Caenorhabditis elegans: one gene and its partners. The protein of the gene in region 2 interacts with the protein of the main gene of each other region in a pairwise test. Each region holds a gene or a part of one and is shown on either strand. Other genes may lie near its edges.

The links. Proteins that work in one complex are often made in the same cells at the same time.
Region 1: the proteins of tap-1 (region 2) and rpl-8 interact in a two-hybrid assay, tested with the Caenorhabditis elegans proteins (one large-scale study listed by BioGRID).
Region 3: the proteins of tap-1 (region 2) and his-74 interact in a two-hybrid assay, tested with the Caenorhabditis elegans proteins (one large-scale study listed by BioGRID).

What each region holds. Positions count from the first base shown.
Region 1 is NC_003283.11:20,477,552-20,481,541, reverse strand, and holds rpl-8 (Large ribosomal subunit protein uL2), read right to left. Parts: upstream 1,854-3,990; 5' UTR 1,848-1,853; coding exon 1,568-1,847; intron 1,534-1,567; exon of another isoform or gene 1,409-1,533; intron 1,342-1,408; coding exon 1,231-1,341; intron 1,175-1,230; coding exon 783-1,174; 3' UTR 708-782; downstream 1-707. Other genes in the region: dhcr-7 (7-dehydrocholesterol reductase), read left to right, coding at 1-348, 404-645; calf-1 (CAlcium channel Localization Factor), read left to right, coding at 2,623-2,724, 2,772-2,892.
Region 2 is NC_003284.9:14,587,669-14,592,647, reverse strand, and holds tap-1 (TGF-beta-activated kinase 1 and MAP3K7-binding protein 1), read right to left. Parts: upstream 3,025-4,979; 5' UTR 2,991-3,024; coding exon 2,854-2,990; intron 2,494-2,853; coding exon 2,358-2,493; intron 2,314-2,357; coding exon 2,170-2,313; intron 2,126-2,169; coding exon 2,049-2,125; intron 1,996-2,048; coding exon 1,887-1,995; intron 1,843-1,886; coding exon 1,717-1,842; intron 1,544-1,716; coding exon 1,458-1,543; intron 1,363-1,457; coding exon 1,266-1,362; intron 1,113-1,265; coding exon 864-1,112; 3' UTR 827-863; downstream 1-826. Other genes in the region: bltp-3B (Chorein N-terminal domain-containing protein), read left to right, coding at 3,562-3,605, 3,894-3,999, 4,048-4,143, 4,369-4,442, 4,493-4,610, 4,660-4,770, 4,974-4,979. UniProt on the Caenorhabditis elegans protein: Involved in the Wnt signaling pathway by regulating mom-4 kinase activity.
Region 3 is NC_003283.11:12,658,997-12,662,388, reverse strand, and holds his-74 (Histone H3.3-like type 2), read left to right. Parts: upstream 1-2,058; 5' UTR 2,059-2,062; coding exon 2,063-2,344; intron 2,345-2,391; coding exon 2,392-2,520; 3' UTR 2,521-2,685; downstream 2,686-3,392. Other genes in the region: W05B10.3 (Saposin B-type domain-containing protein), read left to right, coding at 742-885, 942-1,085; ccch-3 (C3H1-type domain-containing protein), read left to right, coding at 2,908-3,027, 3,074-3,244, 3,289-3,392. UniProt on the Caenorhabditis elegans protein: Putative variant histone H3 which may replace conventional H3 in a subset of nucleosomes. Nucleosomes wrap and compact DNA into chromatin, limiting DNA accessibility to the cellular machineries which require DNA as a template.

The DNA of each region.
Region 1 (3,990 bases), on a different chromosome or scaffold from region 2:
ACATTTTCCAATTTCACTGGAACGAAGACCTCTTTCTCAACTCGTTGGACTCGAAGCGATGCGATTTCGGCTTCTATCGAATTTGGGCGGATTTCGTGCTGGGACCCATTATCTATACATCACCAGTGACGATTCTCGTGGCGACTAATCGATCCGTCGGTGTGATCTCCAACTGCTTATTCTGTGCTGTGGCGATTGGCTCGATGGTTTTCACTGCGAAATGCGATCGGCAGAAATATGAATTCCGGAAATCTAAAGGAACGCTGAAAGTTGGCGGAGTTGATGCTTTTTTTATTAGTGCAAAGTATCGAACTGACTCCGGAGATGCTAATACTAATCTTTTACTAGGTAAGCTTTTCGCTGAAAGCTTGATTTGTCTTCAAAAAAACCACTAAAATTCCAGGCAGTGGTCATTGGGGAGTATGCAGGCATCCAAATTATGCCTCCGAAGCCATCACATTCGCCGCTTTCTCTGCATTTCAAGGCTTCCCATCCACCATTGCTCACATCCCATCCTTATTCGTTATCCTGTTCCTTGTTGCACGAGCATTCACCGATGAGAATCGATGCCTGATCAAGTACGGGCAGTACTGGGCGCAGTATTGTTCGAAAGTTAAATACCGGTTTCTTCCTGGCGTGTTCTGAGCCTTTACTCCCTAATGTTTTTTTCCTAAATTTTTTTGGTTCCAAAATTATCGAGCTCTCAATTTTTTGATGAAAGAAAGACAAGCGGTTTTTTAATAACAAAAATGTATTTTGTTGAATAACAAATAACAATACATTTAGACGTTCTCCTCCTTGGTGAACTTGACTGGCTTTCCTCCGCGAATTCTTCCGGTACGGCGGGCGGCGATAAGTCCAACCTTCTTTCCGGCACTGGCGTCTCTTCTGACGGTGGATGGATGTCCAATATGTTGATGGTTACCTCCTCCGTGGGGATGTTCGACTGGATTCATGGCAACTCCTCTGACACGTGGCCAGCTGTTTCTCTTTGCCTTGTACTTGTGGTATGAGCGTCCAGCCTTGAGAAGTGGCTTGTCGGTACGTCCTCCTCCAGCGACGAGTCCAATCATGGCGCGGTTGACCGATTGAACGACCTTCTTGGCTCCGGATGGGAGGCGAATACGTGTCTTCTTGGTGTCTGGGTTGTGGGCGATGACGGTGGCGTAGTTACCTGAAAATTAATTAATTGATTAATGAAGATTATATTGGTATTTGTGCAAAACTTACCAGAGGCACGGGCGATGACTCCACGGTCTCCGGACTTGTTCTCGACGTTGCAGATGGTGGTTCCTTCTGGGAGGGTTCCGACTGGCACGATGTTTCCGATTTGGATTTGAGCTGAAAAAAATAATAATTAGAATTTAGTAACTAAAAATGAAATGTTTAGTTCTAAAATTTCGAAAGTAAAGTGTTCGTGCACACAATGACCGATTCTGACAAACTATCACACCGGGGGTAAGAGGCAAAATTTCCTATGGTCCTTCCTGAAGGGCGTAGAATCAAAATAATTCAGGCCAGATTAAAAAGGACAAGCCGGATGCTTCAAACTGAAGGAAAAACTAACCCTTAGCTCCACAATGGATGAATTGTCCAGTGTGCATTCCTTCGGCGGCGACGACGGTAGTCTTCACGGTCTTGTACTTGTATGGGTCGCGGAAAGCGATGATGGCAAGTGGAGCTCCTCTTCCTGGGTCGTGGATGATGTCCTTCACGAGTCCCTTGATGTAGCCATGTCTCTCGGCATAGTCAAGAGGACGGAGCTTGGACGCTCCTTTGCGGTGCTTGTTGTGGCTCTTGAAGATTCCACCAGCTCCTTTACGCTGGATGCGGATACGACGTCCCATGTTACCCTGAAAAAATTCAATAATTATGACTGAAATCTGCGGAAAAGAGGTAAACACTACAAAAATAGACGAAAATAAAAGTAAAACAGCGAAAGAGATGACAAACTATCGGAACTGAGAATTAAAAATTCGTATTTAGACGGAAAATAATATTTTTCAGATAAAAAGCCGAAAAAATCGAGATTTTGAGAGAGAAAGAGACGACGAATGATCAAAACAAGCATTAAAATTGAATTTCTATAATTATTTGAACATAAAAACAAAAAAAAATTACTGAAAATCTTCAAAATTGGCGAAAAAAGTTTAGGCCAGCCGAAAAAATAGAAGAAAACGAGAGCCAAGCAGCTGCGGCGGAGAGGGTGGGTCTCGCCACGACAGCCCGATAAATAGCGTGCGCCTTTAACATTTCTCGTAAATCGACACAAGGAGAAGAGGGAAATTAATATTAAATCTGAAAAATGAGAAGAATTTACGAATTTTGAAGGAAGAAAGTTGAAATTTGGAGAAAAAATTGATTTTAAAGTTATTCAGAACATTATTGAGGTTGAAAATCTGATAAAATCGTTAAAAAACCGGAGAAATACGTAGAAAAAGAGAGAAGAGCCAGAGAAAATGAAAAATCGATGAGCTGTCGCCGTCTCTTCTGGGCTCACGGCTTCTGCTCCTTTCTCTACACTAAACCACTAACATCTGGGTGCAAAAATGCACTAATTCACGCCAGCTTTTTCCCTTTTCCACTAGTTTTCTCAATTTTTAGCTAATATTTTCCACTAAAATGTCATCTCCACAACAATTCACAATTCCGGCGAGCGAGGTGATGACGTCAATTGTGCTCCCGACGATAATTTTCTGTGTTGGGCTCGTTGCAGCCATGTTGGTACGGAAAAATGGGGAATTTTATCGATTTTTCATCGAATTTTGCAGCTTGGAATTAATAAATGCAAGCAGTGGGAGCTGGACAAGGTCGTCGAGATGAGAAGATCACGTCGGGTGCTCCAGCGAGTTACGAATAGGCTTAGAGAGAAGAATTTTAAGACGATACAACGTGAGAAGCTGGAAAATTGATGTTTTGAGTGAATAATACGGATTTTTAGTGGAGAAAAGCAGTTTTTGAAGGGCTAAAAGCATTAGAAAACTCGAAAATTAATTAAAATTTGAGATTTTTGGCGAAAATTTGAGATTTTTATTGAAATTTTGAGATTGTTTGTGTAAATTTGCAGTGTTTTGGCGAAAATTCGAGATTCCTAGTGAAAATTTGACATTTCTAGTAAAAATTTGAGATTTTCAGTGAATTTTTGAGATTGTTAGTGAAAAAACTGAGTTTTTAGTGGATAAATTAAGTTTTTTAAGGGCTAAAAGCATTTGAAAACTCTTAATTTTTCTGTGAGAATTTCGAGGGAAACTGCAGGAAAAGTGGCGGAAAAGTGGCAAATCCAACTTTTTGGAATAAAAAATTAGAAAATCTTCCAAAAAATTGAAATTTGAAGCTCCAAAAAGCTGAAAATAGACGTTTCTGATGAAAATTTCCAATTTTGGAACTGAAAAACATTGATTTTTACCTCGAAATCCGATTTTTAACGTTAAAATCCAATTTTTACGATTTTTAGATAAAATTTGAACTTTTAAGGCCCGAAAGAAACAAAATGCTTCGAAATTTTCAATTTTTGAGGCTTGAGGAGCTGAAAATTGTCGTTTTCGATGATGAGAAATTCCGTAATTCTAAACAAAAATTCGATTTTTGAAAATCGAAAAGCATGAAAGTCCTGGAAATAATATTTTGTTTCAATTTTTGAAGCTCGAACGTCGTGAAAAGCTGAAAAATTAACGTTTCATGGGGAAAATCCAGTTTTTTTTCGTGGAAAACGAATTTTTAGAGCTGAGAGCTGAAAAATTAACACTTTGATTAAAAAAATTTCGAGATTCGGGCTTAATTTTTGAATTTTTAGCTGAAAACTGATGTTTCAGTGTGTTTTTGGCCAAAAATTTAGGTCTAAAAGACGATAGAATTGCGAAAATGCATTTTTGAAATGAAAAATCTTGATTCTTTCGGAAATTTTTGTTCCTGAAGTTCTAGAAGCTTTGAAAATTGAATTTTATCTGAAAAATCTAGTTTTTTGAGTGAAAAATTCAGATTTATACGAAA
Region 2 (4,979 bases):
TAGGTATGCGGGATTAAAAAAAAAAATTTTTTTGGCTCCCAGTTATATGTGTAAATCCTAACTTTTTTCTCTGAAAAACTAAACTGATAAAAACGACATTTGTCAAGATCAAAAAGCGATGACATAAGCTTTCCTTGCAACAAAACCTACAAATCTGTGTGCCTCTAAATAAGCGTTTCAGATCATTTCAAATTCACGATAACGACCGATTGTTGAAAAAGGTAAATTATGTAACAGAATTTGCGTCTTGTTTTTTGAAATGCAGAAAAAGACCAATACGGAAAAATCTAGTCTCAAAATCAGGACAAAAGCGTTGATGTGAAATTCAAGAAATTTGATCTCACACCAGCTCAAGCAACTCCTCCCCCGCATCTCTCGTCAGAGATTTTTTTTTCAAAATAAAACAAAGAAATAGGAAAAGAAAAGTTTAGATCTATGTAGTAGCAACAATAGAAATTATTTTGACGGTCGACTTGAAAAATGTTTCTTGATCTTTTCAAAATTGTTCCCAGAGTTGAGATTGGTAGCTTCCACGTAAGGTGTCGAACAGGGCACACAAGTGGTGTCAGAGTTACTCATTTTGGTTTGATCTACGTAGATCAATAATACAAAAAATGCGGGAGAAGGGGACGCAGAGTTCTCCACTGATTTCGTATGGTTAAGAACGCGCTGACGTCGCATTTTTTTTGGGCGAAAAAATCCCGCTATTTTTCTAGATCAATCCGTGATGGGACATCCTGGCACATGGCACCACATAGGCACATATAACGTTACATTTGTAATGAAAGCATCATAATCATACTCCCCGCAAAAATAACACATAATACATGATAACAAATATTTATATTTACTAGCAACAATATTTATTTTGAAGGTCGAGTTAGAAGTAGTTTCTTCATCTTTTCATAATTTTTTCCAGAATTGAAGTTGGTAGCATCGACATATGGTGTCGAGCAGGGCTCATACAATGTTGCATTTGTAGATTCCATTGTCGAAATCGCTGAATCGAATTGTTCGTAAAGAGCCGCTTGGTAATCTTCCTCGAGCTTCACATAAATCACAGTCATTTCCTCTCTGTGATTACTGATACAGAAATTTTTATCGTCGCTCATCTGAAAATAAAATAAAAATAATATGGCAATGTGGAATAGCAAAATACATCCGCCCAATGTTTGAACAAATTTAATTGAATTGAGAAGAAATAGGTAAAATTTTGTAAATTGTATTCAAATTTGCTTATCTAAAAAAGGGTAAATCCAACAAACCGTGTAAGCATCGCGATGCTTTCTTGCAAACGAGTCTACCAATGCCTGCGCTGTACTTGTAACTGTGTGATCTTCAATTAGTCGAACGGATACTTCTCTGAAAACTGGGGAATCGATGAAAATTTTATTTTTTATTTTTATAAACGTGTGACTTGGTTATTGACGAAAAAGTTCCATAAGTTTGCTACTTACGTTGGGATGTTTTCAACTTCAACTTCCTTAAGATTCTGAACTACACCGTCGGAGATCAGAACCAAATGTCTCCAGGATGGGTCGATCTAAAAGTAGAAGTTACCTGTTGGTTGGAAAATAAGCATTTAAAAAAAGAAAAGAAAACATGTTCTCATTTTGTAATCAAATCTGAGGTGTTGTGACTAATATTTTCATTGAATTTGATCTTTTATCTTGTTTTTCGTAAAATGTTCCAGAACAACATTTCATCATAGCAAACCTTTGTATACTGAACATCTGGAGTAGAAATAACCGGTGGTCCTTTTGCATTCTTGAAAGCTTCCGTCTCTTCAAACAGGTGGGTTCGTTGTAAGTCACCGATCGCTCTAGTTGGATTCAGAACTGTCTGTAAACTTATTTTGTAAAATTATTACAAAAAAAATTAATTACCTCCGGATTAATCCCTAGCCCTTTTATTCGTACAATCTCCAAAGGATTGTCATTATTGTGTAGATTTGAGTTGAGCTGCACTACGTTCTCACTGTTCATAGCAATTGCGCTGAAAGTTTTTTTTTTTCAAAAATTCCTAACAAACAGTTTCAAAAATCTTACAGAGAGTTTCCGCAATTTAGCACATATAGGTCCTGGTTAATGATCATGACTACTATGGCAGTGGTACCTTGGCGAATCTGAAAATTTGGGAGATTATAATAATTTCAAAATTTAGTCTAACTTTTTGATTGATTTCCGATACTGCATTATTTCCAGTTTCCGACTGTTCCTCCAACTTTAACAGTCGATTGTTCAAATCATCGGTGTTCATCAACAAATAACGCTCGGCAACGTTTTCAAATTTCCGTTTAAATTCTTCCACCACCTGAAAATGTAGTTGTAGAGTTGAAAATTTGATTGTTAAATCACTTGATAAGGGAGTAGTGTTGGTGTAATTGGATTTTCTCCAAAAATCTCATATACCAATCTGTTCATGACAAACTTCGCTGTTGAATCGCCACCATTAAATCCGGAAAAAATACCGTAGAGTTTGATGGGTCCATTGCTGAAAAATGAAAATTTGTTAACTTTTACTATTAATGTAATCTACTAATCTGTGTCTACATGATCTTTCATGTTTTAACAAAAAATTACGATAAATATAGTTTTATTTTTTAATTGATGTACTTGTGACATTTACTTCCTTGCAAACAAATTGTATTTAACACCTTCAATGTATCGTTCCAAAACTTTCTCTTTTCATTTTTTGTTCATTGTGTTACTAGACAAGGAAAGTGTAAAAATTGCATTTTCCCACGTAATCGTTCAGTTTATTTTCCACTGAATTGCTGTAAAATTTGACTTTTTTCCTAATTAAGATCGGTTTATGTTTCATTTTGCAACAAAAAAAGTAGAATAAACTCACTGTATGCACATGGAGCACGATAAAAAATCGTTGTTCTGCACCGGATTTTTTTGTTTTGAGTAGCGGCAGCTGTGCACAGTGCCAATGCCCGCATCGGTGTTGGCAGGGTATTGATCGAGGAACCCGTCGTCCCCCATTTTGCCTGTGCTCTGCGACTGCTCTCCTGCTTATCTACAATCAAATTCACGATGAGTTAGAGAAATAATGACAGAGAAAACGATTAATACAAACGATAAACAAATTTGTTGATTGACTACTTCTACTTTCTTTTTTATTATATAAACGTTCAATGAGCAACAACAAAAAATTCTAATCAAATTATATTTTTATATTGAAATACAATTTAAAAAAAGGGAAAAATTCTAATTCTAATCTTCAAAATCTATATCCGGTCTTTTTTCTCACGCCAAAACGCGTTTCTATTCTTATCAAAAAGCAGCAATGGCTAGCCAAGCACAAACACGTTGAGAGAATTGGCATGCCGACGCGCGCACGCACCCTCCCAAGCATACACCGCCGCGTGTGCCAAACGCGCTCCATTGGCAAAAACCGATAGTCGCAATTTGGACAATTAATGCATTTTCGCATAAATAATGAGCACATTGTTTTTGATTCAATATGTTCTATTGATGATTTTCTGTGTATTTATGTAGTTTTTTGTAGTTCGCACCTGAAAATCGATTTTTTTTGCAGAATTGTACACCGAAGATGACGTCAATAATCAAAAACCAGCTAGTCAAACATTTATCCAAGTAAGTTAATTTTTGAGTGTATTGAAAAATATTAAAAATCGATGACAACGTCAAACATATTTTTTCTCAAATAATACCCTCCTTGTTTAGTTGATAAAATGGATGTTAAAATTTTTGTAACGCCACTGGGAATTTTGCCAAAATATGCTCCAAATCGCTTAAAAAAACCAAAAATATCTTGGTAATTGCTACTTGTGACAATAAGTATAAAATTTCAAATTTTTTTTGAAAAGTTTTACTATGGAATTTAATCAAGTTTGCACCCTCAAAAAATTCACTTTTTTTCAGATTCACAAAAAACTTGAAGCCCGAGCAGATATCCTTAGACGTGTTAAAAGGAAATAGTAAACTTCAGTTTATTGAAATTAACGAAGATGTTTTGACAGAGATTTTGGTGAGTTTTAAATGTACATGCTTTCCTTGCATAAACTCAAAATTTCAGGAGCTTCCTTCGTGGTTGAAAATCAAACGAGCATTCTGTACAGGTGTAGCTGTGAATGTACCATGGACCAAATTGAAAACTTGCCCAATTCAGATTGTAGGTTGTTTTCTTTTTTTTGAATTAGAAATTGAAGTAGACAAATTTATTCTCGTATTTTGAATAATTATATCAGACAAATTAAATCTGCCAAATGTTGCATTTTTGATAACGTTTTCTATTTTGTAAAAAAAAAGTTATAAATATTTTGAAAAGTGTCATAGTCTCACATAAACTCCTTTTTCATTCAAATTCATGCTTTTATAATCGTAAAAATAATTTCAGTTCATTGATGAAATCAATGTGGATGTGGAGCTTACCAATGAGCATAAAAAACAGGCAAAATCAAATCCACTTGGGTAAGCATAGTTCTACCATTTTCGAAATTAAACCCTTCACGTTTTTGCAGAAATCTCGGTGACAGCAGTTCATACGGCTTCATGAACAAAATCATCGAAAACATGTCTTTGTATATAAGTTCTGTAGAAATTAACTTTGATTCCGACGTATTCGGAGGCTCATTTATGGTTTGTGTTTGCTCAGCCGGAAAATGTTTTAATTAATGAAATTTTTCAGCTTCAACGATTGTCAGTGGAGAGCAGAAGTCCAGGATGGGCTCAAGTGAAAGACTTGCGTCAGACTAGAATTACGTGCTCGGAGACAAATAGAACATTGATGTTTAAGCAGGTGAATTTTTAAAAAGAAACATTTCTAGAATCAATTTGAATAATTATAAATCTAAAAATATCTCATCAAAGATGAATCTTAAAAAATGTGATTAGAAAAAAAATATTCAGGAAAAATACATAGTTGGATTTTTAAAATTTTCAAAAAAACATCTGATATTCAAATTGTTAAAATAGGCTTAAAATAAAACCTCCAACTTACAGCTTTCC
Region 3 (3,392 bases), on a different chromosome or scaffold from region 2:
GATCGTAGAATGAATTACTAAAACCATAGAGGAGCCATCCACAAAGGAGTGAAGATGAAAATTGAGAAAAACTTTTTTGAAAATTTAATTTCAACAATTAAAATAAATTATACAATTCACAATTTGGTATAATGTAAAAACGTTCAAAACTTCTCGAATTGTGATGTGCGTATCGTATTCTAGTTGAAGACACATTATTTTTCTCCGAGTTGATCTCGCCACGAAAGTTTCTCAAAAAAAAATCTTATACGCGAAGCTCATAATGCCAAACAATCTGAACTGCCCAAAGAATGGTAAGATTTGCAATGAAACTTTTTTCACCTAGTTAGATGTTTTGACCAACTCACGTCATAACAATTAGCTACAGTATCCTGGCTCGAAATGTTGTGAGCTCGTAATATCCGGCTTTTTTTTCTCACCTTTAGTACTTCAATGTGTTTTCCATAATGACTTAACCTCCAGATGTGTTGGTCATTTAGTATATTTCCTTTTGTCATTGCACAAACGAATCGTATAAATCAAATTTTATAATTTTACACAGAAATTGATAAGTTAGTTTATATTTTAATTTTGCTACACTTTCCAAGCAATATAGTTTTTCTATTGATACCTCGACAAAAGAAATTGAAGAATTTGTTAATACTATGAGAAAAATGTATTATTCTCATGAAACTGTTGAGAACCTACATTTCCTATATTATACATTCCAAATTCTATTTTCTCTTATTTCTCTGCTTCACTATGAAGCTCAACCTGTTTTTTGTTATTTGTATCTTTACTGTCTCAAAAACTACTGCTCAATTCGAGAATATAAAACCTTGTGTGATTTGCGATGATCATTGGTTTATTGTCCCAACCAGTTGGTTAAATATGTCTAAGTATTTGGTAAGAAGAACTCTTTGAAACTGCATTCTGTGTAAATAACCTCTACAAATTTTCAGCGAGGAGGTTGCAATCGTCTCCCGAAAGCTTTAATTTGGCCGTGTCGAGACCTCGTTGACTCAATGAATCTTTGGGATCAATACTCGACTCTTTATCCACATATTGTTGAGTTTCACAAGCAGGCATGCAAAATGTTATGCTGAGAAAAATTTTGAAAATTAATATAAATTTTATGATGATTGATTTTACACATATTCGTTCCATGTCAAGCACCGTCTCGAAATCAGGGAATATTACCCAGTTGCGAGAGAATACGATGTCCGGTCTCGCCACGAATGAAAAAAATCGGTCCACTTAGAGAAGTACAGTAACCAATATTTTAAAAACCTTCTCAGAGCTTCCACGGCCTTCTGGTGCCATATCCTTCTATTAACTATTGAAATGGTGTTTTAATTTGCAACTTTATTGTAAAAACTAACGATTGTTACAGCCAAATTAATAAAAATGAATTCGATCCAAGCTATAAATCTCTCTTCTTTGAAAAAAATCGAGCCGAATAAAACGAAACTATGAAATGAGTGTTGTCTGCGAACAGAGAATGATATTTTAGATATTTCCCCCCAAACTTCGAATTAAAAGATTTTGCCATATTTTGAGCAAGTGATCAAAATCAGAAGATCAAAAAATAAGAGCAAAATTCAAAAATGCATTTATTTTTGACCTGACAAGGAAGATAATTTTAAAAAAGTATTAAATATTTAAGGCAATTTTAGTTATTTTTAAAAGTAATATTTTCACATAAGGTATTTTTTCAATTGTTTGTAAAGCATTTTGAAAGAAAACCGCATTTGATATACCACGAAAAGAATGGCCGGGTCCCGACACGAGCGACACACACAGAACACCACTGCTACCGTAACCCTCTTCAATCTTAATCGCGCATTTTGTTATTATTTTTGTTTTGGGGATTGTTTTTCTATTGAAATTTAGTAATTTTTAAAGTTTTTTTCAAATTAATTTTATTTTAAAAATTGTGATCTTCCAATGCTGTCAATTTTGTGCGTTAACACTTGAAAAGGATCCTCTTCCGTTGAATTTATCATAATTTTTCTTCATAATTTCACATCTGACAATTTATCAATGTTGTTTCTTTCTTTTAATGTTAAATATTTCCAGAACTATGGCTCGTACCAAGCAAACCGCTCGCAAATCGACTGGAGGAAAAGCTCCCAGAAAAGCTCTGGCGACGAAGGCGGCTCGCAAGTCGGCCATTGTCACCGGAAGTGTCAAAAAAGTGCATCGTTTTCGTCCGGGAACAGTCGCTCTTCGTGAGATCAGACGCTATCAAAAGTCTACAGAGCTTCTGCTTCGCAAGCTACCATTCCAGCGTCTTGTCCGTGAAATCGCGCAAGACTTCAAAACCGATCTCCGTTTCCAGTCAGCTGCTATCGGAGCTCTTCAGGTAACGATTTTGAAATCCAAAACGTAGTTTAAAAAATAATTTTCCAGGAAGCTTCCGAAGCTTACCTCGTTGGACTCTTCGAAGACACCAACCTGTGCGCCATCCACGCCAAAAGAGTCACTATCATGCCAAAGGATATGCAACTCGCCAGACGCATCCGTGGAGAGCGCAGCTAGATCCCTGTTTTATTACTGCCCGAATAATTATTTTATCTTTACCGCTTTGTATTAATATTATGCCTCTTGATGAAATTCCGCAACGTCCTTCTCATCACACCTGCACATTTCTCATCCCTGTTTTCTATCGATTTAATGTATCGAATAAACCCTGCGTTCCTTTTTTGTTGCAAAATTTATTGTATTGCAATATATTGGTTACTAGTTCGCCAACGGATTCTTTTTAAGAGTGTATCACGAGTGGAGGCGCAGGCAGACACGATAAGTGCGTCAGTAGTGGTTCATTCCAATTTAAAAAAGAGTGGATTTACGTTAGAAGAGTCATATTAATTTTCCGGTGATAATTCAATTTTCTTTCTATTTAAAAATTCATTTTCAGAGTCTGACATGACATCGCTCGTGGCTTACGGATCTGACAGCGAAGGAGAAGACGATGATTTCTTTGGAAAACCGACAACAGAAAAAGAAGAAACGACGAAAAACGCGGAGAAAGAAAAAGAAGAAGAGGTTAGTTCTATCTATTAAAAATTCCGCGATCAATTCTCATTTTCAGAGCGAAAAAATAGCGGAATCTGATGAAAAGCCAACAATCTCTTCATTTTTCTTCAGTGGTGACGATGATAAAGCAGGATCAAGTGATTCGGATGATTCTGAAGGCGAATCAGTAGGACCTAAAAAGAAACGACGATCTGGAGAATCAGTTACAGAATTGGACAAAGAATTTGTAATTTTTTTCTGCGAAACTAAATTTTATTTGAGTAATTTCAGACAAGTTCAATATTCGACAACGATTATGCCAGGGAAGAACGAATGAATGCCCGAATGTTGAGTCGTCACGTGGATCTGTCCGATAAGCCAAGTGAAAAAGAAAG